Linked DNA regions of Styela clava. The protein of the gene in region 2 purifies or fractionates together with the protein of the main gene of each other region. This does not show direct contact. Links are inferred from orthologs where the notes say so. Each region holds a gene or a part of one and is shown on either strand. Other genes may lie near its edges.

Region 1 (6,635 bases), on a different chromosome or scaffold from region 2:
GACGGAACCCAGAGCAGATAAATTAAATATATTTGTTAGTTAAACTGTTTCACTAAAATCTCATTCTAAACTTTTTTTAAATTTTTTTAAAAGGCCCGGCTCACCTTAACCCGGATTGTTATGATTATTAAATTATATAATTCTTGTCATAACTCAATGATAATGGGTTGTATTGTTTTTAATATCATTTATGAACGGGACTTAGTAATTAAAGCACGGTTGAACGTTAGTTTTACCTACAACTTTGAAATCATCACGCACTAATATGATGCGCAATACCCACTCAAACATGTTTTTCAGTTGACTCAACCGTTTGACGTCTTGTCGTTCCTATATAGGTTATAGGTTAGTAGACTACGTTGGATATTCTAGAACCCCATTTTTATAAAACATTGGTTGAATGCGAGGTGTATCTCAGTATTATTGCCATTGACCAACCTAAAAAATCCGGTTGAAAAATTTGAATACTGGCGATCTTCATAATTGTTTTCATGCCAAGGTTTTATTAATATTTAGAATTATTCTCAAACCACAGTATATAATTTATTTTGTCCCAATTCTACCGCGCCATTGAATGGTAATTTAAATAAAATATGATCACGCGTCAACTGACATAACGACACCCACTTAATTGCTTACTTATTTTTTCTGACGAAGTTGACTCAATTTTTTCGCGTATTTTGAATAGGTAATGAGTTCATAGTTCAGTAGACTACCTAAAAAATTTAATTTGATTTCAAAACATAAACAGAATGAAATAACGGAACAACCGAAAATAATATCTTTTTTACAATTTGGTTACACAATTCCCGCTAAGGAGGGTGATCTTAAACTAGGTTCCGATTGGGTTTTACACTATTCAGCAATATATACCGTGTAAAACGCGGATAATCATATGAGTATAATTTTATTCCAACTCCGTAATCAGTATAATAGCATAAACAACGCGTTTGATATCAAAGTTCAGTGAATGATTATTTTTCGTGCTTGCAGCGAGCCATTTTCTTCCGGATATGAGTTTATGACTCCAAACCTTTTTAAACGACTCGGTAGTTTTGTGATTGACAGCCGCATTCCTAAACGTGAATGCGTTGCTAGACTATTTTTTGTTTCGAAGCTGGAGGTTTTAGGAATTTCAAAATAGGACTTTCATATTTATGAGGAAAAAGCCGATAACATGGCTCATTGTATACCGTACCTAACCACGGCCTTTCTCGCCAGGTTACCGGTCCATGTCGGATAACTGAACAGTTCATACTGTCATACTATTCATAGGCATAGCGCATAGGGTGTCACAGCTAGATAGGATAGGATTTAAATATTTATCCCGGGGGAGAGGAAAGCCGATAAGCGAACCACGGCCTCTCGTCCGGTTACCAGTCCAGGTCGGGTATGTGATTAGTTAGCCAGCTATTTGTTTTCGGAAGCATGGACTTGATGGCGGGGGAACCGGTAACCGACCATCGGTTACATCATACATGAACCACCCTACGGTGGCGAGGAGTCCAGCAATCCTCTCGCACATGATCATCCCTGCATGGGATGCGAACCCACGCAGAGTAATTTGAGGTGCTGTGGTGAGCGTATTCCTAACGCTCCAGACTGGATTCCATGGCAGGTGCACGCCCGAGGGCGCTAGCGCTCCGCAAAAATGCACGCGAGCGAAATCAATTTTGCACGCCGAAAATTTGCAATTGCTCACCAATGTAAATCGGTTTAAATGGTTTTAAAATCAATAATCCAGTAATATAAAGATGCCAAAATATTATACCTCCACGATTGTCGACAAATACCAGCTTGCAAGATTTGGTCTGATCGAAATATTGCGAAGCAAAAAGACCATGGACCTTTCCCCAACCTTTGACCCGCGAAAAATTCCTCTCATTGTTACGTCCTTTTTTGCATCTTGCTGATTGGCCAATGTCACAAAGTAAACAAGGAAGTCGATGCTCGGGGAAAGGTCCATATCGTGTTGAATGATAGGAAATAGGAATCCCGTGAGAATAGTTATGGACGAAAAGATCGCCTCCGCACCAATGGCCAAGTACGGCTCTGATCATACAATAATTTTACACGAATGTACTGAACAGTACCGGTATCTAAAGTTGCTCAAACACTCCCAAAATTAGTGACAAAGTATGAAAATAATGTTTGGGGTCAAAGGTCAAACGTCCATTTTTGCTCTAATTTTCATCCATTAATTCTACGTAAAAACACTACCAAAATTAATGACAAAGTATGTCCATTTTGCTCTGGTTCAACGTATTTTTTATCCAATAATTTTACGCGGATGTACTGAACAGTACCGGTATCCAAAGTCGCACAAACACTCTCAAAATTAGCGACAAACTGTAGAAATAATGTTTGGGGTCAAAGGTCAAACGTCCATTTTTTCTCTGATTCAACGTAATTTTTATCCGATACCGGTAATTTTACGCGGATGTATTGAGAGGTATCTGATGTCAAAGTCAGTTGCACGCGAGTGCAGTTGTTTTGCACGTCGTGAGCTATAATTGCACGCCAGGAATTCTTATTTGCACGCGGGAATTTCTGATTGCACGCCCGATTTCTCGTTCAAAAAGGCCATGAAATCCAGACTGGCTAACGCTTAGCCCGTTGAGCCACACCGCCGCGCCATACTGAGACCAGACGCCCCTTGTTTGTGAGACACATTGAGTGTTTGTTTAATTGAACCAAATGGAGGGAAATTCTTGGAATTTGGATAGTGTGCCATACTAAACTACTAGTGGGCGTAGCATACAATTTTATTTCGATCTTTCGTCTACAACACAGAACGCACACAAAAAAATTGCTCAGACAATGACGACGGGGAGTTGGGCAAAACTTAGAGAAAGGTTTATAGCAAACGTTGTAACCAGTGTTTGTGCCCATTCACCCACACTCACAAAACTGGAAAAACACATCACGACAATCTATAACTGAAAAAATGAATAAATTTATAAACAGCATACATGAACACAAGAAAGTAATATTTACGGGCTACTTACTTCTACAGTTGTATATAATTTTGGTGTGTAAAAGTGGTGAAAATTGCGGAATAAGAAGAGTGAGATTTACGGTGTGTGCCGGACTGCCGGTGCATGTGCCGAAATGCAAATCCTAAAAATCACATCTAAGTGATTAGTGTTAGCTACTGTTTTTTATATTCTTTGTAAACAAACAAAGCTAAAAAGTAAACAAACAAATTTAAAAACTCTAAAACTAGTTTCGGGCATTGCTTTTTGTTTAAAACTTTAAGGAAATGGTTAAATTTCACAAAGTTTTCATTTAAAAATTCATAATCTCGAGCATTTGCCTATGATGGTCAGTCATTAAATTACCTCTTTTTAACCAGTTTTACCGAATCAAAATTTCAGTATGCAGACATGTCGGCTAATATCCTTAACTAACATCTCTTTTTGTCAAACGCTTGAAAATCCAGTTGTGAATATTGTCTGATCTTCGATAACTTTTATTTCTTTATGATTACCGTAAGCTTCTTTTAAGGATATCACATTCCCAGATAAGTCTGTAGACGTCGCCCTTACACGTAGCTCCGATATGAATTCCATTCTTTTTTTATCAAGAACATTGAATAAAATCTTTTCCTGTGTCCATTCCATATACCAGGTTTCCTTCTAAATAATATTGCCGGTACCACATAGATTTGCGATCAGAGTTCCAGATCAAAGAGTATCCCATCGTTCAACACGTCCGCACCCCACGGTGGTCAGATCCGAATGGACATGTCAGTTCTTACCGGTCACCCCTACCTGACTAAGCCATTCAAACAGCTATTTCTCTCGTTTTCTTCTTGCAACGATCCCGATAGGAGAGAGATCACAGACGTTAGTCAGTTCTTTATCGTCGGCATCAATGCCATTCCGGGCGATCGTGCATGAAATTGACAAGCTCTATGACGTGATTGTTATGTCTTAGTGACATAATTTTTGGATGGCATAGTCAGGTGGGGGTTGTGTCAAAAAAATTTTATGCTACGCTACGTCATGCATCTGAAATATATAACTGTAAGTAAGCATAATTAGTATAATTTATTCATCACCATGTGAAAATTAAAGATACATTCACAAACAGAAGCAAAGCATTGTTAGGTATACCAGTAATGTAATTTAATTGCCTTATTATCGTCACATACTAATTCTCTCCACATACCTACTGCATTGACCCACACAGTCTTTCAAATGCACAGCACTGAAATATTTTTCATTTGCATTATTACAATAGTATTTTAATTAATATTGTGTAATATAGTTAGTGTCTAATAATATCAAACCTATTGGTGATTGAAAATTTCCACGGAAAAAATAAAATGGGAGTTCTACGAGCAAAATGTGTCATTGTTGGTGACTGTACTGTCGGGAAAAGTGCGATTACACAAGTTTTTCACAGCGATGGGACGATGTTTCCAAAAAACTACACGATGACTACGGGAGTCGAGGTTTGTCAAAAAGTCATTCCTGTTCGAGAACGTGGTGATTTTGTCGATATTTTTATGTTCGATTCAGCTGGAAAAGATGTTTTTTCTGAAATCTGTGAAAAACATTGGGACGATATTGGAATGCTTGCTGTTGTTTTTGATGTTACGGACATCGAGTCGCTTAACCGTGTGAAAAACTGGCGGAATAAAATGAAAGAACATATCAACCCGGAAAAAAATATTCCGAGCGTTCTCATCGGTAACAAAGTGGATTTGGACCTAAGGCGGCAGGTGACAACAGAGGAAGGTGAAGAACTTGCCGAACAATTGGGAATGACGTACTTTGAAGTTTCTGCAAAAGGCAATGAAGGAATTGAAGCACCTTTTCAATATCTTGCTCAAAAGTTTGCAGACCATCATCAAGACTCTCGAGAAAATGTACAAATGCTAGAATAACTGTTTATATCTATTACTTGTAAATAGTACTAATAGTGTCAACTTTGATACGAAACGTTCAATGAACCGGAACTAGACAGCACTAGCTCCATTCTCATTCAGACTATTTTATTCTGACCGTTTATGACAAAAAATAAGCTCTTACTGTTATGGTTCTTTGTTTTATTATTTTCTGGGTTAGAATTAACAAAGCATACCTGCCTAAAGGAATACTGGTATTGTTGATAAAGCGCATAATAATATAGTACTATATTCGTAATAATATGAAGTCGAGTTGGACTAAACTGAAAAATACATTCATTTTGGTAAAATTCTTTCCCCGAAATAAAATTGGATTAGTTGGAGTTGTCTATAAATGTCAACTCTCAATTTATTATATTGCATTATAGAATTTAGGAATAATTTTGAAAAGTTTAAGTTATAAAATATGCTTGACCAAAATACCCTCATTTCAATGTTTGAAAAACTGTAAAAAAGAAGAGATGGTCAAACTATTATTCATCATAACTCTCCTGCATTCCCAAATCAAACTGTAACTTCAATAAGTTCTCTGTAGGACATGACCCTTCTCAGTATATAATTTTACTTTCATATTTGTATTAATCATTTATGCAGCTTAGGTGGATAATTGGCTACATCTGGCTGTTTTTTACATGTACAAATTCATATTTGAAGGTTCTAATTTTGTTTTCGTCTTTTCTAAATAATTTGTGGATTTTTATGGAATCTTTGTATTGTTTTGTGTTAGAATATTAGGTGCTATACTGTTGTCCCACCACTAAATTTCTATTTTTCTCAAATTCTGTTTATCTTAGGTTAGGTTAATATAAGTTAGAAATTGTGGGGATGAAATTCGGCTCTCTCTGGCCAGTGCTGGGTTATTGCCCTGACTCGAGTTGGATTAGAGTCACTGTTCATAAAAGTGACTCAAGACGTATAATTGATATGTCTTGGGCTCGATTTTCTGTCAGTGGGCTGAGTTATTGACCCAACTTCAGACTTGAATGACTGACTGATGACTTGTAACTCGAGTATAAGTAGTTAATGAGAAAAGCCATTTTTCCGAAACAACTAGAAAAATACTAACAACAACATAATAACAGATCAGAAACTTAGTGGTGGGACAAAAATACTAGTACGGTACCGGTACTTTATTTTTATGTAGTGCTGTATTTTGGTAAATTTATTATTGTGTGAATTTCACTGTATAATTTTTTATGTATATTTTTAGATAAAAGATTTATAATAGTGTAGTAATAGCTAAAATTTTGCCATTCAAGTCTAAGACATCAAAACTGGATTAAACATAATATAGGATAAATACCCAATGGGCAGACCTACACCAACAGCTGAGTAGCGGGGGAAATGCTGGAATTCCTGGGATAAATATTTCAAATGTTTGGAAGACAATTCGTCTGCAGGAAATAAGGAATCCATTTGCTCAAATTCATATAAAGAGTTTGTTGCAGATTGCCTTCCTGTTTGGGTAAGAGTTTTGGCGCTGCAGAAGTGTGTGTTCCAATATTGCGGTAACTACCGTGATTTTGTTCGCCTACTTTGCCTCAAGTTGTGTAAAGAGACTGAAACCTATAGGGGGTTTATTCACTTGTCTAACACAGATAGTACCCGAACTCGTAATAGAACTAAAATAAGGAAAATCTGAACAAAATTATGGCCGAACCCAAACCTGGTACACATACTTCGGGAGTACCAGAGTGTCACTGTTTGATTTTCCTTTGAA
Region 2 (7,195 bases):
AAATATCAATATTGGACAAAGATTTAGCAGTTTTACACGAGCTATAAATTTATTTAAAAGATATAGATTTCCGAATATATTGGAAATATTTACAAAAGATGGCTCTTGTGGGAATTGCAGGAATACTTAGAAGGGTTCTTGAAACCTGTGGACGCGGTCCCAATTGTAAGAAAATGCACATCAGTTGAAAAATTGTGAATAACTTGAAAATAATAAGTGTTACGGTATTCACATTTATTCATTTTCATTATAATCCATTCATGCAACTTCTGTTTAATGTAAAAAATAAAATATGATTGGAGCGAATATATTGACCTTTTAGAATGCTAATACAAGTATAATGTTAAAAGGAGAATTAGAAAATTTCCTTTAGCATGAAGAAATGGGGAGAAATCGAGACAGCAATTTTGTTTTACCAATCCCGTGTATCTCCGGAAATTTGGTCCCGGTGTTGAATTCGCCGACACGCTTGACTTGGTGCTGACAGATTATTATTGCTTCGAAAATCATCGTGCGACTTCCTCCGTTTTTCTGTATTCTGACGGCGCTGTCTCACGTCAAGGTTAAGTGAGTGACTTATAAACATTCAAGTTAGTTGTGCACATGAAATATTACACGATATACTTGACTATAGAACTGATAGAATGCAGATTACAAAACAAAATAGAGGAACAATCAATTGAGTGGGAAGGCCCTAGGACCGGTTCAGCACTCGAAAGCACATTGGCAGTAAGATTTTAAATTCACTTTAAAGCTCCCATGAGTAGATGTAGTCTAGTAGAGAGCCGCTTCGTGCTACGATTGTTCAGCATAAAAAAAGAGTAAGTTGTAAATGTTCTTATAGGTACCCAGTAATGATTTGTCAAGGAATGTAAATTTTGATAAGAGATATGTGTATTTTCGGATCATAAAAAAGTTGCAGTGTGAGGATTTATGCTGTGTGATCAAAGCAGTGAACAAGAATATAAATTGACTGACTGATGGGTGATTGAAATTGTGACGTCTGTATGAAAAACATAAATTAAACACACATATTTTAACTTCAATTAATTAGTGTTTTATGATGGAGTTCTACTGATCTTGATAATTTTTTCCCAGACTCATTCTGTCATTGTATACGAAGTCACCAGCTGCATATTACAAGCTAAGAGGTGTTTTACGTTTGTCATGATAACCCATTTTGCTTGATTTCAGGCTGGTACTAATAACTTTTTTCACATAAATTGGATATCTATTATTGCTATTATCTAAACATGGCTTCAACATATATATATATATATATTTATAATTTTAGATGTGCCAAAAAGTTTTGAATTATTTTGTCGAGTGTTTTTGAATTATTGATTTGTGATCAATAGCAATAACTTTTTTGCTACTGCAAAATCCACCACATTCATTGAATGCATTAATATTTCTCCTGGAACCGTTACATTTTATTAATTCCAATTTGTTTTGTGGGGTATTCACATTTTTGTTTCAAATAATATTTTGTCAAAGTGGCTGTTATACTTATATATAAACACATACATGCTTAGATGGTAGACAAGGTTCGATCGTTGTGGGCAATTTATTCCAAAATATCGTAACTAAAATATAAGTTTTTGCAGACGTCTCGAAACTCACTTTTGAAGAATGATTTGCTGTAATCAGATGGGGTTTTGGCATGGAAACACATCTAGACGGAATTTATGAAGATATGTCTAAAAAAACATTTGAAACAGCCATGTAAACTAATAGACCAACATTTTTAACTCAATAGCTCGATAAAAATGTCTGTTAAATATTAAGCACAGGTATAGCACAAAGAATTGTTTTGGGTATTAATTCATTTGTATTATTCTATCTCCTATTGAGCAATTAAATACTTGTATCATGATTATTATTTCTGAAATTACCAACAGTATTCATGTCATTAATAACAGATGAACTGGGGAAATTTTTCTTTGTAGGTTTTTTCCTGCATCTGTTGCTAGGATTTCGGAGATGTCTGAATTTGAAGCAACGCCAAGTTTTGCAAATAGCAAAATATGCATTAGATCAGCTTAAATTTCATTAATTATTTTACACACTGAAAGTCTACAACAGGTGATTATCTCAAGGATTTTTTAACAAAATAAATGCTATACAGCTACATGCAACACATTCTGTAGTCATATTTAAAAAACAACAACATTTCATTGCTTCTCCAGCGTATGAAGGGCTCCAAATACTGGTACCTTCAACATGTGATATACCACATTGGACCAAACATCTGTCAGACCCCCTTTTAAGTGTAAGATAAAAGTCTTCTAAATCAGTGGTTCTCAACCGCCGGTCCGCGGCAACCTTGCTGCCGGTTCGCCAAATATTTTTTAACATTAATATATTATAAGCAAATTGCAAAAATATTTCCTAAAACAAAGATCTTCAAAATAAGGACAAATTCTAAAAATAAGGACGTTGTGGCAGCCCTGATTATAGGTCAAGTGGAGAAAAAACTACTGTGAAAGCTACAATACTTGAGATGGAGTGAGACCAAAATGCTGTGCTACCAAGCGTTTTTTTTATATAAAGTGCAAAGTATTCATTTTCGTCACTACTTTACCTACATCTGACTGACATTTTTTGCAATGCATCGCATTTTTGATGCCTTGCTTTCTTTCGACAAGGAAGTTGTCACATCATCCTGGTCATTTGCAAGACAGACTTTGTCTTCATTTTCACAATTATTTATTCATTTTTATCAAATTTCTTCGTCCTTCAGCAAATATTTCGATCAGTCATCAATGAACAGGGTAGTTTTTTTATGCAGGAGCGTCGTCGTCGTTAAGCATCTTGTCTGAACAAAACCAACCGTGACGCCCGCCACTTGGAGGTGCAACATCGCCTTTGTTTGTTTATTATAGGGCGAGCGGAGTTGGACATCTAGTAGTAGTATATATTTACGGTTTTACATAAGGACTTGAATTCACTGATGACTATGGTGAAATCTACATGGCGAATACAACAGTGGAACACTATGGATTGTTTGGAAATATTAGGTGAAACATTGGATAACTGAAATTGCCGTTGATGCATATTCTTGTTGGACACGTCAGTGTACATAACGATCGTTTCAATATTATGTTGTTGTTCTTGTTTTTCTTTCGTCGTGATAAAATCGCTTTTTTCTTCGAATACTGGACCTATTGCTTTGAAATTTTCAGTGATTAAAGATTGATTTTTTTCGCCAGAAGGCTATTACTTTTACTTATTTCAAAAATTTCTGTGGACTTCAAGAGATTCGTTTTTTATGCGTCAGAATAAAGAAATAGCGACACCTTTTGACGGGTCCATATATTTGAGCATAGCTCTCTTGTTTTTGTATGTAATTATGTGTGATGTTTATTTATCATTATTGTCTTTATTTTTTTTAATAAACGATTGAATCCTTAATCAGAAAAATAAAAAAATGAATGAATAACCAATCCGAATCTTGGGTCTCCTGATCTGATGAACCATAGTACAACAACTAAACTGTGATAATAGCGCGCAAAGAAAATGTGAGGGGCATGGAGGACGCTTGATTATATTTCAGTTATGTGACCACGTCCAAATTGATTGAACCATGATTTATTATAATATTGATGGTAAAATGTACTGTGACAATAACTGTAGAAAGAAGTTTTAGTTTTGGCAGGTTGTATGCATGGTTAGGCCTACCATACGTCCCGCTTTAGGCGGGACGGTCTCGCTTTTCAGCGTTTTGTCCCGCCGTCCCGACAGGTCAGCCAAAAGTCCCGCTTTTGCGTCCAGCATGTTACACGAACATGTTCTTGTTACCGTTGTTGCTGTGTAGCGAGGCGCTAGCCTACTTACTGAAGGTGAATGCGTTTGTTTCCCGCTGATTCCCATTGGTAGCAGACGTATCGCATGTAAAACCAATACTAATTACTTAGTCCAAATTCGAATTATTTGGACAGCGAATATGCGCATGAAATTTCGATAACAATATGTTCAATAAAGCCAGCCGGGACAGCTTTGAAAGTAGGAATGTTTAGGCCTATGTAGTAAAATCGAAAAATGTAAAGTTACAAAATCACAGCTAGGGGGTCATTGTTTTTTGAGGCGTCCCGATTTGAAGTCACAAAAATATGGTAACCCTATGCATGATAAGGCGCTCAAATCTTTTCTCGGTTACGCCGAAATGTCCATTTAATATATAAAATTGACTGTCAATACTTTTACTGTCAATTAGTTAAATATTTTGAATTGAAATGGTGATTTTGAACTTGAATGAATTCTGAGGTTGAAGGTCAGAAAAACATTCACGGGCCATCTAACCGCTACATTTAGCATCAAAACTAACTAAGTGCCAAGTTTTTTCTGTCCAATACGGCTGCCAGAACGAAGTGGGCTTCTCGTACATTTCCTCGTCTTCGGTGATCAAATACCTCTCATATTCAAGGGCTGTTTGGGTACACTGTGGCAGTATAATGACGGATGACGTTAGAAGAGGCGGAGAAGATGAAGACCGTGGCCCAGGTACGGTACGGTACCGGTATGATTTGTGTGTTGTTTTCACTTGTCAGCTTGTCGTAGGTATGTTAAAAAAAATTTGAAGTCAATCGGATTTACCGTATTTCTCGGCGAATGAGTCTACCCGGTCAATAAGACGAGGACCGTTTTTAAGACTAAAAAAATGGGTTTTTACATATACCGGTACCGGTAACCTGCCAATAAGTCGGGGTTGTAAAATCGCATCAACATCGGAATCTCAAATTACCATGCAATGCCCTTTGAGCGGTCACCGCGTTTGCGCATTGGTTAAAATAGCCTACCGGTATAACGACGTTTTCTTGTAGCGTAATATTCAATCCATAATAACTACGGGAATTTAAACTCTTTAAATTTTCATCTAATTGTGTTCAACTCACGATTTTTTCCACCATAAAAGAACATTCCCTAATACATAATAAGGCGACACCAAACAAATTAAAATTATTATACTCGCCTAATAAGACGACCCCCCCCCCAAATCTGGCCGAAAATTTGGGTCTAGAAAAGCAACTTATTTGCCGAAAAATTCGGTAAATAATAACTGCGTCAGTGGATGGATCTAAGTCAAAATAAGAAAACAATACCAAGTTTGCGAAAAACGGTCAAGAATTAACGGAGATATCGGCATTTTAGTACCGCCCGATAGGCCAATTTTTCTCCATAAGGTTAGCATTACGCTGGCTCAAAAACTGTGACCGCAAGAATGTGAGACCGATAAATAACAATTTCTATCTTCGCTATTTTGGAAGGTAATCAAATGAAATTTGGAACGAAAAGATAACGTGAAAATATAAACCAAATAAAACAACTTTACAAATTCTTTTCAATGAAATAACAGTCTTTTTTAATTAATTATGTACAAGAAAATGTCTTAATTTCTCGAAGTCAATAAACTGATTTAAAGCTTCCATATCTGACTGTATTCACTGAACAATTTAAAATCTACCTGCACGTAAGATATTTACTGTGTTTACGAAAACTCAGAACGAGAAAATTCAGCGCCCGAGATGATGTCGACAATTCGGTCGATAACTATCTGCGAGTTGACAGACTCACGCTAAGATAGTATTAAACGTGTCTTGAAATATTTCGTAGCGTTTTCGAAAAACGCTTGCAAATTCTGTTTTTTTTAGAGAATTTTATTTATTGTGGAAAACATTCTATATTAATCTCTAATCTCTCGATATGCGTCACATCTATGAAATATCAAGGCTCTTTCATAATTTAATTCTGGCAACGGTCAATGAGGCCATCGGCGGATTGTCGCAAATTCAAAGTCGGAGGTGGGTATGTTAAATGAACAGTGGTTCGTTCCGGCTAATAATTAACGATGTTCGGATCGAGCAAACTTCACAAAAATTGGCAAGTTTCAAGTTAAGAAAGAGACACGCGTGTCATTATAGATTTTATAGGTGTCATTAGACGGGATCATTAATTTGTAGCACGTTTAAGTTGGAAGGTATTTTTAAAAGATTCGCATGATAGGAAATATTTGCGCTAATGGAAAAATTCAAAAACAAGGTCATAGTCGTGTTTTTTATCTAATTTATGTCAAAATTTCATGGAAACACTAACTATCGCTGGCAATCCGTAGCCGTTTTTATATGCGGTACTCAAGTATGGCGGTAACGGTACCTAGCAGAAGTGATGCGTACATTTTTTATTGCGAAAATGTGCGTTTTGTAACATTCCTACTTGTCGGTCTGTAGATGTGGGTAGTACGGTAACTTTACTTTATTAGTCATGTTGGGTATAAATTTTTGGTTAAGGGTCCATGTACAAAATCCTGAATTTGAATAATCTCGATTTTATCTAATTACATTCCAATTAACAGGTGCTTCATATCAAGTATTTGAAGTGATGTCAGATTTGCTGGATAAGCTGAAATTGTTAAATTTTGAGGAAAATTTCATGAGGCCAAACAACATGAAACCTCTAACAAGGTATTATCAGCTATGAAATGGGTGGGGACTTTCAGAAAATCTTTGGTCAATACTCAAAGGGTTTTTTGACGGTGAAAATAAAAGATTGTGATAATTGTAATCTCGTATTGCAATTTATAAAGTGGGTCAAAAATTTCAGTTTGTAATTTCGCTTCACACATACTTTTGTATAATATTTACAATGATGCTAACAGCAGTCACAAAAATGATTGTACATTTGCTGTTCGAACCATATTTCAGTTTTTGAATACAAGCCATCTGTCTCTTTTTATTTATGACATCTTTTGGTTTGCTCACAGACATTATTTTGCGGTCCCTACAAATCCTGGTGAACAGTTTCATGCATTCACTTCAATTTCTGCCTGGCTTCTTAACATCATTGGTCGTCCATTTGACATGCCACAAGAATTTGATGATCCCAATGCTACTATATCAAGTATATTGGAAGAAGTAAAACGAATGGTATGTATAACAATTTTTTAAATCATAATTAAACATTTTCAATCGTGGAGAGACTAAATATTGTATTTGTGATTTTTTATTCTTTCTTGAAAATTTTCAGGGAGTCGCGATTGATTTTCCACCATCCAAGTTGAAGCAAGGATGTGGAGAATATGTTTGTTATATCCTTGATCGTTTGACTGAAGAAGCATTGAGGTCAAGTAATTTCCAGTGGGGAAGGTAAATATTGTCATCTAGATAATTTCCATTTATTCAGGTGTATCCTATCATAG
Region 3 (7,196 bases), on a different chromosome or scaffold from region 2:
AGCGCATGATTGCCACCAGGTATATTCATGTTGAAGATAAGTGAAGCACAACCGGTGTATAGCAAAACATCGGCAAATAAAATCGTTTTGCTATACACCGGTTGTGCTTCACTTATTTTCGACATAACTAATCCCATACCCGACATGAACTGGTAACAGGACGAGAGGCCGTGGTTCGCCATATCATTAAGCCCAGGGGCGGATTATGTCCCTTTGGTGCCCTAAGCACTGAAGACTTTGGTGCCCTCTTATGTGTATTTTAAATTATAAAAACAATAAACTACATAAGTGTATCATCCATCAAAAATTATTACAACCAACAGTAAATAAAACAACTTTTACGAATATTTTTTAGGTTTTTTTTTAACTGGTATACATAACCGATATATATATATATATATCGGCCGTTTACTGCCGATATATTAGCCTATATCTGCAAACACGCAATATCAGACCGGTATAACGGTTAAGCTCTAATCCTGAAGAAGTTCGACGATGAAGATTCATGCGTCCAATCTTATCGTGAATCGAAATACCAAAGGATACAAAACAAGTCACAACTGTAGTTTGAAATTTTACCGGTACTTAGTAGTCTACCTCAGGGTGGTCCAATATAGCGAGAAGGACCACAAAAACCTTTTAGAAGGTCACGCGGGCCGCAGTCGAAAAAAACAACAAAAGTGACCGAAATATCGCGACTTTACTTACTTTAAATTCAATGAACAATTAGAGTTTACCGTTCGATTCAGCCTATTATTATGTTGCATGGGTTGCGTTCTTTTAAAGAAGATATATATAAAGCCTTCAGTTATTTCGAAATTAATTACCGAGAATTATCGTTGTATTTTCCGCATCTCGCGTTTGGGTTTATAATGACGCTTCAAATTATATTCGTTCGTGACAGATGTTACTTACCAGAAGCTGTGGTTTACCGTTGTGGTGGGCAAGAATACATTTTCTCCTTGTTTTCTTTATGTCACCTTTCTTTTGACACTCATTATATTACGAATTATTATGACGCTTCAAATTATATTCGTTCGTGACAGATGTTACTTACCAGAAGCTGTGGTTTACCGTTGTGGTGGGCAAGAATACATTTTCTCCTTGTTTTCTTTATGTCGCCTTTCTTTTGACACTCATTATATTACGAATTATTATTTTTGAGTAATTTAAAAATTTGCAGCGTGAGCAGGCTTAACGCTATTGTCAAATAACAACCAAGTTCGACAAATTGGTATTTCGGGACCTAGCCCAAGATAACCTGGATTACGCGGCGTTGAGACAGAGATGGCCCTTATTTTAAAACAGAGGAGTGTTTTTCCTAAAATAAAGGCACAAAATCTCTCTCCGAATAAGGAGTTACCCGACGCGAGTTGAGATGAGAAGTGCGACCCATCTCATCGGTTTGGTCCTGTCTGCACAAGGCAATTCATTCTCATTGTACCGATCACAGCTCACAGGACGCCATTCTCATATTGGCATCGTCTTGACGTTTATAAATACAGCATTGAAATTCCGTGACCTCGACAAGCATAATTCCCGACATTGTGATTAGGAAACGAGTTTGAATCTAGGGATCCCACCCCAGTTGGAATAACTAAAAAAAAAAAGTTCAGGATTTGTCAAGTCATGACAGGGTTTGGACCATTCTGGTCTACCTTATCGAAAGACTCCCGACATCGCTGACCACTAGATCGTTGAAATGCGATCACGGAACCACCATACCGTGCAAATAGTCCATTGGTCCAATAGTTTAAAAGAGAAGAAATTTATTTAAACAAAAATGCATCAACAAGGTGAATACTAGGGGGAAAAACAACAAAAATTTTTAATAAAGAAGGTTAATATGATACTTGAAGACGAGAAATGAGCGAAAATTTTGAAGTCTGAGTTGTCTGCTAAACTTCTCTTACCCCTCTTTGCTTGGTGCCCCAAGCACGTGCTTATATTGTTCAATGGGTAATCCAGCGCTGATTAAGTCGTCTCATCGACTTCCCTCTCCCCTGCGATAAATATGTAAATCCTATCCTACTTTTTGCATTTTGCTGATTGGCCAATGTCACAAAGTAAACAAGGAAGCCGATACTGGGGGACACATCCATAGATCACCAAAATCTGAAAGCTGTAACATACTGTAGCGAGACTTTATTTTTGTGTCAAAGGTCGAGGAAACCGCTGGAAATAGTGCGTAAAGTATTGTACTGCAAGCCTATCACTAAAAATGTATTCGGCTGCTCCGTCTGTCCGTGAGGAATTTTGAATAGAATAGGGGTTTACATTTTAATCCTGACGCAGAGGAAAGTATATCAGGCGGCTTGATCATATGACGAACCACTGCCTCTCGTCTGGTTTCCATTCTGGGTAAGTAGTTAGCCAGGTAATATTTGAAGTTGATACCGTACCGGTACCGTACGGTATTACTGTAATACCAGTCATAAGCAGATGAATTAACTTGAAAAAAAATTCTCTTTACACTGCTACATGCATTTTTTAAATGGTAATAAGGTGGTGTAGCCAGTCTGTTGACGATTTCATTCAAATCGCTAAAACGAATATTTCTAATCCTGTACCGGTAATCCGTTAATTTTTTCACCGTAGGTGCATTGGCATTTATTCTACACGCTAAACCTCGAATTACGACACTCTGAAAACACATTTGCGACCGAACGACCAGTGTGCGACCACGAGTTTCGAGCCTTGAACATCGTTTCTACTGCGTCGAGACTAGAGCATACACAGCCATGCGTGAAAAAATTGGGCTTCTAATTGTATTTCTGACAGTCATATATTTCAAGAACATGGTTATTTCGAACAAAACTCATCAAATTAATAAACAAAGCACCGCATCCCAGCAATCAAACAGACAAAAACACGGTGGTCGCAAATTGGTCGGCAAAGATATTGGAAATGTGCAACCCCTATTCTCCCTCCTTTAAATGTAGAAACGCGAAACTTTAAAGATGGTTAATAAAAAAACACAACTCTACCCACCTGCCAAGTTCCATCTTTTTATCTCTCATATCTGTATGGATTTTCAATTATTTTTTAAAGAGACAATGGGTAGTTGGCGACATAAAACATGATTGAAAAAAAAATGGTCTGTTTTTTTCTTCGGTCGGGTTTTCGGTCGTAACTTTTTTGTTTGTGGCCGCATTTTAGTGTAATTTCGCAGAGCTACGGGGGATAAGTGGATGATAACGTGTGAGAAATATCGTCGCAGTTTGTTAATTTTTTCGGCATTAATTTATAGACTGTTACGGTATAGTCTAATCTTTATGGTGAAAAATCTGGATGATGAATTCTTCCATGAATAGCCTATATAGTCTAACATTAACAATTAATGTAATGATCGTAAAACTTGTCAATAACTTTATAACATTTAAGTTATATTCTTTCTTCATTAAAAAAAGACATACCTGCAGGTCCTGCATACAGACATAAGATGAGCAATGTCAGAATGTTGTCAGTTGCCAAGTCCAGAAGTGAATGCAAATTTCATGGTTAAGGTTTGATGTGGTATTAGTCATAGTCTATCTTGTTCAGTTTTTTTAGTATGTCCAACTGTTAAACTGCTAATACTTTAAATATTTAAGAAGCGCAATCAAAATACAGGATTTTTAAAATGGCGGCTGTTAATTCAGTAATTTATCTGAATGAAAATATAGTCTAATGTGTTTTTGTTTAGTTACTTTAGAACAATTTAGCAAGGAAAGCGAGATAGAGGTGTATTGTATTTCATTCACTCTGCCACTTATCCACCAGCTAAGGCAATATTGAAATGTTTATTATGACTTTTATTTCACCCATTCAACTATATTATGTCCTGAAATTGTACCTACATGATGTGCTTTAAAAAAATAAGCTACGTCTGTACGTTCATAAATGGCATTCAACGTGTGCTATTAGTCCGAAAGTCAGGACTTTAGTATACAGTAGGCTACTTTCTGAAATAAAGTGATGAATTGTTTGCATTTGAACAACAAATTTATGGTCTAGCATTTCGAGCTGTTTTTGATTGAACTACTATGTTTAGATGAACTGAAGTCTTTAGCCTTCGCAATTCGATTTGATCCAAAGGATTCTACCTCGTTTTTCAAACATGGTTAACATTAATCCAGTAAGCTAAGACTTCACATCCATGCTCTGGTTCTACAGTTGTATCAATTTCAGCTAGACTGCCATATTTCACAGTGTTTACCTTTTGTATATTTAGTGTGTTGTTATTTATTTAAATATCTAAAGTCTCTAGCCAAAACAACATAAGAATACTGCCGCTTAAGTAGAGATATTGTTTGACATTACTATCTTTGTCAGTGAGGAAGTCATTCTTGAATATTGCACAATGGCTGGGAGGCCACCAAGCTCAATGCGAGGAAGGCCGCCATCAAGTGGTGAGTTTCAAACATTTCTTGTGTCGCTGCAACATCTTTTCTGTTTTTATATTACCTTATATAAGGGCTATTCCAAGTGACTCTACAGGACAATTCCAGAAATTTTGCATGTTGTTAGATTGTAGCATTGCCAGCTACATGTTTTGTATTATTGTCCAATCAATTGCTCTATGGGGTTTGAACATACCTGCACGAAAGTACACACAAGACTTACTTAATGGATATAAAATATATGTTAAAATATAGGGTGACTCTACAGGACAGCAAATCCACCATGCATTAACATTTCGTTATGTTGTGTTGTAATCGTCAATGAGATTGTGAAATAAACTAAAAAGAAACGTAACCTAAAATCACCACACTCACTTGGAAAGAAAATATCCGATCTATCGAATGAAAAAAAAAATGAAGTGTTTGAGATTAATGGGCAGAAAACGACAGAAACGAGTTCCGATGAATGATGTTACTGAATTTCAATCAACACATGCTGACGAACGTCTGGCCTCCATAGACGCATCAACTTTGCTTACTCACACATACTAGATTAAACTAAATTATTTTGGCCCGCTGCCTGCAGGTTGCACAACCCCTGTTCTAGAATATATCCGCTAATTCGAAATCAGAGAAATGTGCCGTACTGTAAAATGGTATTGAATATGCTTAAATATGCATTATTTACAACAATCTCATTGATTTTTTAAATATTGCAATTTGCAAACAATAGTTTTCTTGCTCAAGCGATTTGAATGATTTGACTAACAAACGATTTGATTAATTGCCATCAGTTATAATTAAAATATTAATATATGTGCAGTGCTGTGGGGTCGGAACTCTGTCATTTAAAAAACAACTTTCGACTCCAGGTTGGCGGAAAAGAATGCAATTTTGTCTCAGGGTCCAACTTCAAACTCCATTCTTTAATTATCTGTTAGGGTCAACTCAATGCTTTATTCGAAAATTTTAACTTGAATATCGCCAATAAAAAAATAGAATTACAGTAAGTTTCGAAACTTCCACTTCAGAATCTGGAGAGGAGATTCTGGCTCTGGCACGGACTCCAATATCAATCAAAATATGCCAATCTCTTGCCTTCATGGCCTTGTACATATCCATCATTAATATTTTGATTTTTTTTATACATCCCTATCAAATAAATTATCGATATATATGTTTTACTTATTGTTTTATGCAGGTATGGGAGCAAGACCACCGATGGGAGGTAGAATAGGCACAGGAGTGAGTAGTACCTTTTGATGTTTTTTGCTGCTTTTTCATTTTCCTCTTCTTTATGTAGACTTCCTAATCGATTAATAACCATGCAGAAAGTGAGCTTGTTGTGAATCAAACGACTAACAGTAATTACTCCTTCACATAATTCTTAATTGGGAATGAACTCGCAAACTATCTGCAAGCCTGTTGACAAGTCAAGTTAATGTCATGTACTGTGTACATTTCAGCAAGTTCCTGGTACTGGTCGCCCTGGTACAAGGGGAGGGCAACCGGGCATGACATCCACTGTTTTACCTGCTGGAATTAGAGTAGCGGATCGACCAATGACACAGCAAGGTCTCGGTGGAATGAAAACAGCAAGTAAAGGCCCCCAACGACAGATACAAGACAGAACTTATTGGCTTGGAGAAATACGGTAGGGTATTATTAAGTATAATGAGTTATATTTGAATCATTGTTGATTTTTTCGCAACAGTAGATCGTAAGATCGTAATCAGTATCAGTTTTCAATCTTGGAGGGAGCACAATTGCTAACGCTGATCACTTCGGATATCTACCGCTAATGCCAAGCATGAGCTGTTTATATTTAATCAATTTTTGAAAGAAAGTCAATTGTGTGCCGAACCAGTTGTGGCAGCTTTGGACAATAATTGGTGACCATCTATTCTTTATATCTCGACCATGTCTGATCGCTAGCGATGAGAAAGACTTAATTTGGTTCCTTAACTGGTATCGAGTGTGTTTGTTTGCAAAGTTGTTAATATTCTATTCTCTTAAGTCTTGATTTTACTCTTTATGTACTGCTTATATTTGCAGTTTTTTGAACCAATTCATTTGGTGATTTTTTCCATTACTGCCTTAACTACTGTAATTATATTATCCTGTTTTGTATTTCAATATCACAGTGCATGAATTTCAATTACCGTATTTCCCGGCGAATAAGTCTACCCAGTAAGTAAGATGAGGCCCGTTTTTAAGCCTGAAACAATGTTTTTTTGCCTATAACCTCCCAATAAGACGGTCAGTAAAATCACATCAGAATCGGAATCTCAAATTACCATGCAAGATAACCCATAATGACTTTTTCTTGTAGCGTAATATTCAATCCATGACATCTATGGGAATTTTAACTGTCTTGCTAATTCTTTATCTCTAATTAACGACAATAAATATACATATAAAGTGTACGGTATATATGAAACATACATACATAATCATCACCTCGAAATCTCCACGAAACGAAATGTGTTAATTGATTTATTTGTGATCAATTTAATCTGCGATTGTGACAATATAAATAGTATCACTCCAAAATACCAACACAAACCGTGCACATAAACATGTTCGATTATATGTTGTTTTGATTCGTATTTTTACAAATTGAACAACTTAAATGAGCTCTTGCTGCAACAATTATTCCGCTTCATCGCAAAGCTGCCACTCATTATTTTGAGGAAATCGACGTAAGAAAAATTCTACCGGTAAATTAAAATCAGTTAAATGCATTCCAAAAAATGAATTAAATTACTTCACATTAATCACGGTATTATAAATATATCATAGTCGCGTCAGGCC
Region 4 (7,157 bases), on a different chromosome or scaffold from region 2:
ACTAGAAACGCCGATAACGATATCTGAAAAAAGCCGATATACCGATAACGATACTATTTAATTATTACCTCAAGTGCGTAATCTTTGTCTTAGCCTAGTTACGCTGACATAACGGCGTTTTTTACATTTCTACATGAGCGAAATACGGATCTTTTGTACAAAGCCTTCGTCAATGGGGGATAATTTATATTATGTTTATAATTTCTGTATCCGGAGGCTGGGTGAAATACGGATCTCTTGCCACTAATGCAAAAATGTGAAATTTTAATAAAACACGTTGTGAAATACCAAATTTATTTATCCAGTTGCGCATTCGGAATAATTTGAGAATTTGAAGTTCCGGTGCATACTGCATTCCTAGCGATCACCCTAAAACCGTAACTGGATTATTTATATTTTTTAGCGGAGGCGGTGGTGTTTTTATGATGGAGGCTTTGTACAAAATATCTCGAAATACTCTTTAGAAGCATTATTAACTAGAATTTTTCATAAAGGTAGATTCGGTAAGACTTTGAATTTGAAATAGGTTTAAGGGCGCTGTCGGAGTTATCAGAAGAGTGGGGGTGTAAATCCGAAGAATTTCCATGAAACTGTCGCCGAAATCAGGCAAGCCACTTGTGAAAAAAGCCCATTTTTTTGATGGATGATTTTCTGATATGTTGTCGGGTGATGATTTTGCAGTTGCGCAAAGTATTCAATTGGCGACTAATCCGAGTCTATTTATAATGTCTTGCTTTATTATTTAATTGTCTTTTTAATGTAACCTGCGGTTGCGTCAACAAAATAAGAACATTACTACGTAAATCACGGAAATCCACGGTCATAAAAAGTGTTCCAAACTGCCCGACTATATTTAGTTTTGATTCGTACTTTTTCGATGTTATTAATTCTACAAATTTGTTCTTGCAATACCGACTCCGCTTTATTGCACCGATACCACCCAAGATTATTTTCAAGACATCAGCGTTATAAAAATCTTTAGGTCTGCGATTTTAGGGTGAAATATGCGATTTTCGGTAGCCATTTATGGCAAATTTGAAACATACTTTAACGATTATTTTTCTAGAGCAACATTTTATTGATGTAATGCAAAAAAGATCAAAATTTGAAAAAATTCTAATTTGGGGAACATATAATAAAGTAGCAAAAACCATTTTTGGGCGAAATATGCGATTTTCGGTAGTCATTTACGGCAAGTTTGAAACATACTTTAACGATTATTTTTCTAGAGCAAGACTTTATTGATGTAATGCAAAAAATATCGAAATTTAAAAAAATTCCAATTTGGGGAACATATAATAAATTAGCAAAAACCATTTTTAAGGTGAAATATGCGATTTTCGGTAGTCGTTTACGACAAGTTTGAAACATACTTTAACGATTATTTTTCTAGAGCAAGACTTTATTAATGTAATGCGAAAAATACATAGATTTTAAAAAATTCAAATTTGGGGAACATATAATAAATTAGCAAAAACTATTTTTGAGGTGAAATATGCGATTTTCGGTAGTCATTTACGGCAAGTTTGAAACATACTTTAACGATTATTTTTCTAGAGCAAGACTTTATTGATGTAATGCAAAAAATATCGAAATTTAAAAAAATTCCAATTTGGGGAACATATAATAAATTAGCAAAAACCATTTTTAAGGTGAAATATGCGATTTTCGGTAGTCATTTACGACAAGTTTGAAACATACTTTAACGATTATTTTTCTCGAGCAAGACTTTATTAATGTAATGCAAAAAATATCAAAATTTAAAAAAATCCCAATTTGGGAAACATATAATAAATTACCAAAAACTATTTTTAAGGTGAAATATGTGATTTTCGGTAGTCATTTACGGCAAGTTTGAAACATACTTTAACTATTATTTTTTTAGAGCAATATTTTATTGATGTAACGCAAAAAAGATCAAAATTTGAAAAAATTCTAATTTGGGGAACATATAATAAATTAGCAAAAACCTTTTTAGGGTGAAATATGCGATTTCCGGTAGTCATTTACGGCAAGTTTGAAACATACTTTAACGATTATTTTTTTAGAACAAGACTTTATTGATGTAATGCAAAAAATATCGAAATTCAAAAAAATTCCAATTTGGGGAACATATAATAAATTAGCAAAAACCATTTTTAAGGTGAAATATGCGATTTTCGGTAGTCATTTACGACAAGTTTGAAACATACTTTAACAATTATTTTTCTCGAGCAAGACTTTATCGTTGTAATGCGAAAAATATCATAATTTAAAAGAATTCCGATTTGGGGAAAATATAATAAATTAGCAAAAACCATTTTTAGAGTGAAATATGCAATTTTCGGTAGTCATTTACGGCAAGTTTGAAAAATACTTTAACGAATATTTTTCTAGAGCAAGTATTTATCGTTGTAATGCAAAAAATATCAAAATTTAAAAAAATTCCAATATGGGGAACATATAATAAATAAACGAAATCAAAGTTGGACAGAAATCCGGCAAATAATACCGTTGAATGCATAGTGTTTTTGTTTTCCGAAGTAAGATTCTGAAATAAATAAAAAAAAAATGGGACACGTGGGAACATATAAAAAATTAAATTCCGATCAGGAACGTTAGTTTGTATAATAAATAAACCAAACTCCCATCTCGATGATCTCATGACATCCGCTCTTCATATGACATCGTGCCACGTTAGTGACAGAATTAGGTTTACGATTTATCTTCTTGCAGAATTGGATGCTGGGAATTGGCGGCCAGGGTAACCCAGGTGGTGAAATTCCTATCTTGGATTTAATAGACGACGTCGCTAGAGCCCGCATTTCTGCATGTAGAGTAATGACGATCTTTGGATGATAACGACTTTTATTTCTCTGCGCTTAGTTACGGTATCATAAGATCGAAATAAAATTGTATTATATGTCAGTATGTCCATAATCCATACAGTCCAAAGGCAGTAGGAACTTCAAGTCAATTAGGTGGACCCTACTAAAAAGGTACGGTAGGTATCACAGGTATCATAGGTATCACTCCATAAAAAGATAGGTATCAGTAATAAATGACTAAAAAGGTAGGTATCAGTAGTAGATGACTAAAAAGGTAGGTATCAGTAGTAAATAACTAAAAAGGTACCGGTAGGTATCAGTAGTAGATGACTAAAAAAGGGGGCTCCCGAAGTATGCGAACCGAGATGGCGGACATCGGAATGTAATATGTGTACTAGGTTAGGGTTAGGCCATAATTTTAGGTATAAATACTACGGGAGGCCCTTGGCTAGTCTTCGAACTGATAATAGGACTAAAATAAGGAAAATTGGAAAAAAATTATCGCCTAACCCTAACCTGTTACTGATACCTACCTTTTTAGTCATTTACTACTGATACCTACCTTTTTAGTCATTTACTACTGATACCTACCTTTTTAGTTATTTACTACTGATACCTACCTTTTAGTCATCTACTACTGATACCTACCTTTTTAGTCATCTACTACTGATACCTACCTTTTTAGTGAGTGATACCTATGATACCTACCTTTTTAGTGAGTGATACCTATGATACCTACCTTTTTAGTAGGGCCCAGTTAGGTAGCCTAGACATCTCACATCGGTACTGGTACCGTACATCTGCACATCAGTAGACTACATACAGGCATACGGCTGTACAGTAACTTACCGTACTATACTGATCTACAAATAAATACAGGTAGAGGGAGATAAATGATTATCATATTATAGAATCCTGGAATCAGGATCAGAGGATGTCAAACAAAACCTCCACGCATCCATCAGTCTGTCAGTCCATGCTGTCTCGAACACATGACAGTACCGTACCGTACGGTATAACTCGCTTACACATGACTGCATGATGAGGAGAGTCAGCATATAGTTCATAGTCTATATGCCTAAAGTTTCTCTGTTCTGTGCCACTTGTTGTGATATTTTACAGTTATAGGACGACTTGCAGACTTGGGTAATTTTCTTTATGTATCTTTGGAGGTGTAAGCAACCTGTTTTGGAGTTTACAGTGAGAATGCTTCAGATATTTTTTATCTATCACACCTGCCTCCTTCATCCTTTATCCAGTGAGCATAAGATGGTAACTTCATTTCCAATTTGTCTTGATTTATCTTAACTTTGTTTTTATATGACACAATGTTAAATTGTTTTTGCAGTGTAAATCATAATCTAGAACTTTTTAGGAAAGGTGCAAACATCAGAAATATGTCTTATCGTGATCTACGAAACTTCACTGAAATGATGAGGGCTCTTGGATACCCAAGAATGATTTCAATCGAAAATTTTAGAACGCCAAATTTCCCTCTAGTAGCCGAAATCTTACTATGGCTTGTACAAAGGTATGATCCAAATGTTACTCTACCCACAGACACTGATACTGAACAAGACAGAGTTATATTCATCAAATCTTCCTCACAATTTGTTGCTACGAAAGCTCATATTAAACTGAACACAAAAAGGCTTTACATGGCTGATGGGTATGCTGTGAAAGAACTTGTAAAGATAGCTAGCGTTTTATACAGTGCAATGAAATCGACACATTCATCTGATGGAAAAGAAAACGATTCTGGAGACGCATCATCTCTGTCTTTCGACATTGATTCAAAAATACAAGACTTAAAAGCTGTACGAAAACTCTCAACGGAAATTACTGAAAGAGGTGCTCTTTTGTATGACCTTTTGGGCAAAGAAATTGACTTGCGAGAAGCCAGATTGACAGCTTTAGCTCAGCCTTTGGAAATAAATGAAATTGAAAAAGGGCTGCGTATTAGTATTCAATCGGTTGAGAAAGAAGTACAAAAAACATTACACATGCTTGACAATATTGCTTCTGATGAAGTTAACCTAGAAGCCAAGATTGCAAAACGAAAAACCGAACTTGAAAGATCGCAAAAGAGACTTAAAACACTGGAAAGTGTGCGACCTGCATTTATGGATGAGTTCGAGCAACTAGAAGAAGATCTCAAAATACAATATGAATCTTACTTATATAAATTCCGGAATATGACTCATCTTGAACAGCAGTTGGAAGACTTGAAGGGACAAGAACAAATGAGAATGGAAGAAACTGAATCAACAATGAAAAAAATGCAAGATCGTTTGAGAGAAGAAGAAAAAAGAACAATCTTGAGCACAGTTGCAATGGATCAAATGGAGCAAGATATGGTATGTATGAAGTTTCGGATCAGATGTATATGATTTGTGATATGTAATTCTAAAAGAAAACAGCAACAAAAATGTTGGTGGTGTACTGGGTGAAATGTTATATAGAGTTAAAGACTGTTAACATAATATCTAGTTATTAATAAATACACTAATCAATTCAATAATACACAATATTCATATTGTGTACTAGAAATGTATATATACATAATTTCAACATCCCTAGTGGGTTTTAACACAAAGGAAAACTAATTTGCAAGCTGAATTCCATTTGGCATTTTGATCTTCTAATTTAACAGCATTTATAAAGAAAAACTTGATGCTCAAACTGTACAGTAGTCTGTTTTAGCCATTTATTCAACATGGAAATTTCTAAACAAGTTTGTTCAATTCAGTATCAATAGACATGTTTTGTTCTAACAATGTATTCAATATCTTAGGATGAGGGAGGAAGCGATTTGGAGGATAGTATGGAAGGAGAACGTCCAGCATACCATCAAACAAGCCGACCAAGCAGACCACCTGCTGGTGTGGGTCCAAGAAATAATATGTATGGTGATGAAGGGAGTGATGATGACGATGATGAAGAAACCTTGTCAAGCAGCAATCTGAGTGTTGTCGATGATAATGAGGATCTTACAGGAGACGATAGTGATGACTTCCTTGATGACATGGCAGGAGAAAGAGCGATTGGTGCAGGTGGCGACCCAAGACGTCATCATGATGTTATTGATGATGACGATGGGGAATTTTAAGCCTCCCACTACAATTCTTTCACGTACTCTTATCAGCATTGAATGCTTGATCTACTTTCGTAAAGAGAAAAAAAACAGAAGTGTATTAATCAACCTTTTTGTCATGATTTTTTTTGGAAATTTTTAGATTGTCACTTATATCAAACTCTGCTAGTTTCACTCAGTGGTAATATTTGTTCCATGTATATATATATATATTACACTGGTGAAGTGCTCAATATATGGTCTTTCGAATAACTTTTGTTTAAACTCTCTATGTCTGATGTAGTTGTGTAATTTTGTGTTGTAATTTTTTTACGTAACAGTAATAGGAAAAAAACTCATTGTCAAGAAATTCCCACCATTTTTGCACAATACCGGAATCTCTATTTAAAAGTCTTTATAGCTTTATTTGGACACAAGTGCACTCAGTACCTATGCTTCGTTTTTAATAATTGTCGCTGTTGGGGTTTTTAGGGCTGTTGCTGTTGTGAAAAAATAGCTATTATCTGCAACTAATGGACCAATCTGGTTCAGTTTTAAAAGATAGTACTTCTATAGTTTTTTTGTTCAATTATCTTTTGAATTGTAAGAAGACTCACTATGTATCCGAAATTTTTATAATTTTATAATTCATGGGCACGACGCTTTAATGTGATAATTAGTACAGCTTTAACGTTTGATCGCTCAAATTTAGCTGGCATTAGCCATGTTATGATATGACATGTAAATTTATTATTAAAGCATTGCTCTCCTGAATTTAAAAAGCAGAAGATAATTATGACAATTATGTAGTTAAAAGTGGCCAAAAGTATTAGTTGTGTAACTTGTGTACCTTAGTCATGTAATGAGCATTTCATTATAATATTCAATAATACTGTGTTGAGTGTTTGTTATATTTTGTATAATTAAATTAGTTTATACTGTTGCACGTATTGAAATGAAACTATTTTTGTAAATATTTCTCTTGTCTCTTGATTGTTATAAGGCAGGGGCAAACTGCGGTCCGCTGGCCAAATGTGGTTAACTTTGATGTTTGAGGTTCAAAAATGTCTGGGAAATGGAGGGAAGTTAGCGACGAGGGTCGAACATTCCAAAGTGCTACGGAAAAATATTTTTCTTTCCAGCGCTTTCCAAAACCAGTTTTTTTGATATGCCCAGTCAGCATCGTAGTTAAGGGATCCAGTGTTAAGCTCGTTACTAAACGTGTCATCGAAAATCCAAGTCTGAGACCCGAGACTGCGCCACAGGTCATCTGTGCG

The links.
Region 1: the proteins of intraflagellar transport protein 57 homolog (region 2) and intraflagellar transport protein 27 homolog purify together in Homo sapiens (co-immunoprecipitation; 3 studies listed by BioGRID and IntAct, with this or other methods). This does not show direct contact. The link is inferred for Styela clava from reciprocal best matches to the Homo sapiens genes IFT57 and IFT27.
Region 3: the proteins of intraflagellar transport protein 57 homolog (region 2) and intraflagellar transport protein 74 homolog purify together in Homo sapiens (affinity purification with mass spectrometry; 3 studies listed by BioGRID and IntAct, counting the BioPlex papers as one, with this or other methods). This does not show direct contact. The link is inferred for Styela clava from reciprocal best matches to the Homo sapiens genes IFT57 and IFT74.
Region 4: the proteins of intraflagellar transport protein 57 homolog (region 2) and clusterin-associated protein 1-like purify together in Homo sapiens (affinity purification with mass spectrometry; 4 studies listed by BioGRID and IntAct, counting the BioPlex papers as one, with this or other methods). This does not show direct contact. The link is inferred for Styela clava from reciprocal best matches to the Homo sapiens genes IFT57 and CLUAP1.

What each region holds. Positions count from the first base shown.
Region 1 is NC_135255.1:20,072,460-20,079,094, forward strand, and holds intraflagellar transport protein 27 homolog, read left to right. Parts: upstream 1-4,221; 5' UTR 4,222-4,330; coding exon 4,331-4,894; 3' UTR 4,895-6,132; downstream 6,133-6,635. UniProt on the Homo sapiens protein: Small GTPase-like component of the intraflagellar transport (IFT) complex B that promotes the exit of the BBSome complex from cilia via its interaction with ARL6. Not involved in entry of the BBSome complex into cilium. Prevents aggregation of GTP-free ARL6.
Region 2 is NC_135253.1:4,226,677-4,233,871, forward strand, and holds the start of intraflagellar transport protein 57 homolog, read left to right. Parts: upstream 1-4,174; 5' UTR 4,175-4,454; coding exon 4,455-4,503; intron 4,504-6,352; coding exon 6,353-6,461; intron 6,462-6,760; coding exon 6,761-6,923; intron 6,924-7,023; coding exon 7,024-7,142; intron 7,143-7,195. UniProt on the Homo sapiens protein: Required for the formation of cilia. Plays an indirect role in sonic hedgehog signaling, cilia being required for all activity of the hedgehog pathway.
Region 3 is NC_135260.1:21,842,448-21,849,643, forward strand, and holds the start of intraflagellar transport protein 74 homolog, read left to right. Parts: upstream 1-4,195; 5' UTR 4,196-4,342; coding exon 4,343-4,391; intron 4,392-5,583; coding exon 5,584-5,627; intron 5,628-5,848; coding exon 5,849-6,036; intron 6,037-7,196. UniProt on the Homo sapiens protein: Component of the intraflagellar transport (IFT) complex B: together with IFT81, forms a tubulin-binding module that specifically mediates transport of tubulin within the cilium. Binds beta-tubulin via its basic region. Required for ciliogenesis.
Region 4 is NC_135250.1:18,041,263-18,048,419, reverse strand, and holds clusterin-associated protein 1-like, read left to right. Parts: upstream 1-4,136; 5' UTR 4,137-4,204; coding exon 4,205-5,164; intron 5,165-5,601; coding exon 5,602-5,916; 3' UTR 5,917-6,856; downstream 6,857-7,157. UniProt on the Homo sapiens protein: Required for cilia biogenesis. Appears to function within the multiple intraflagellar transport complex B (IFT-B). Key regulator of hedgehog signaling.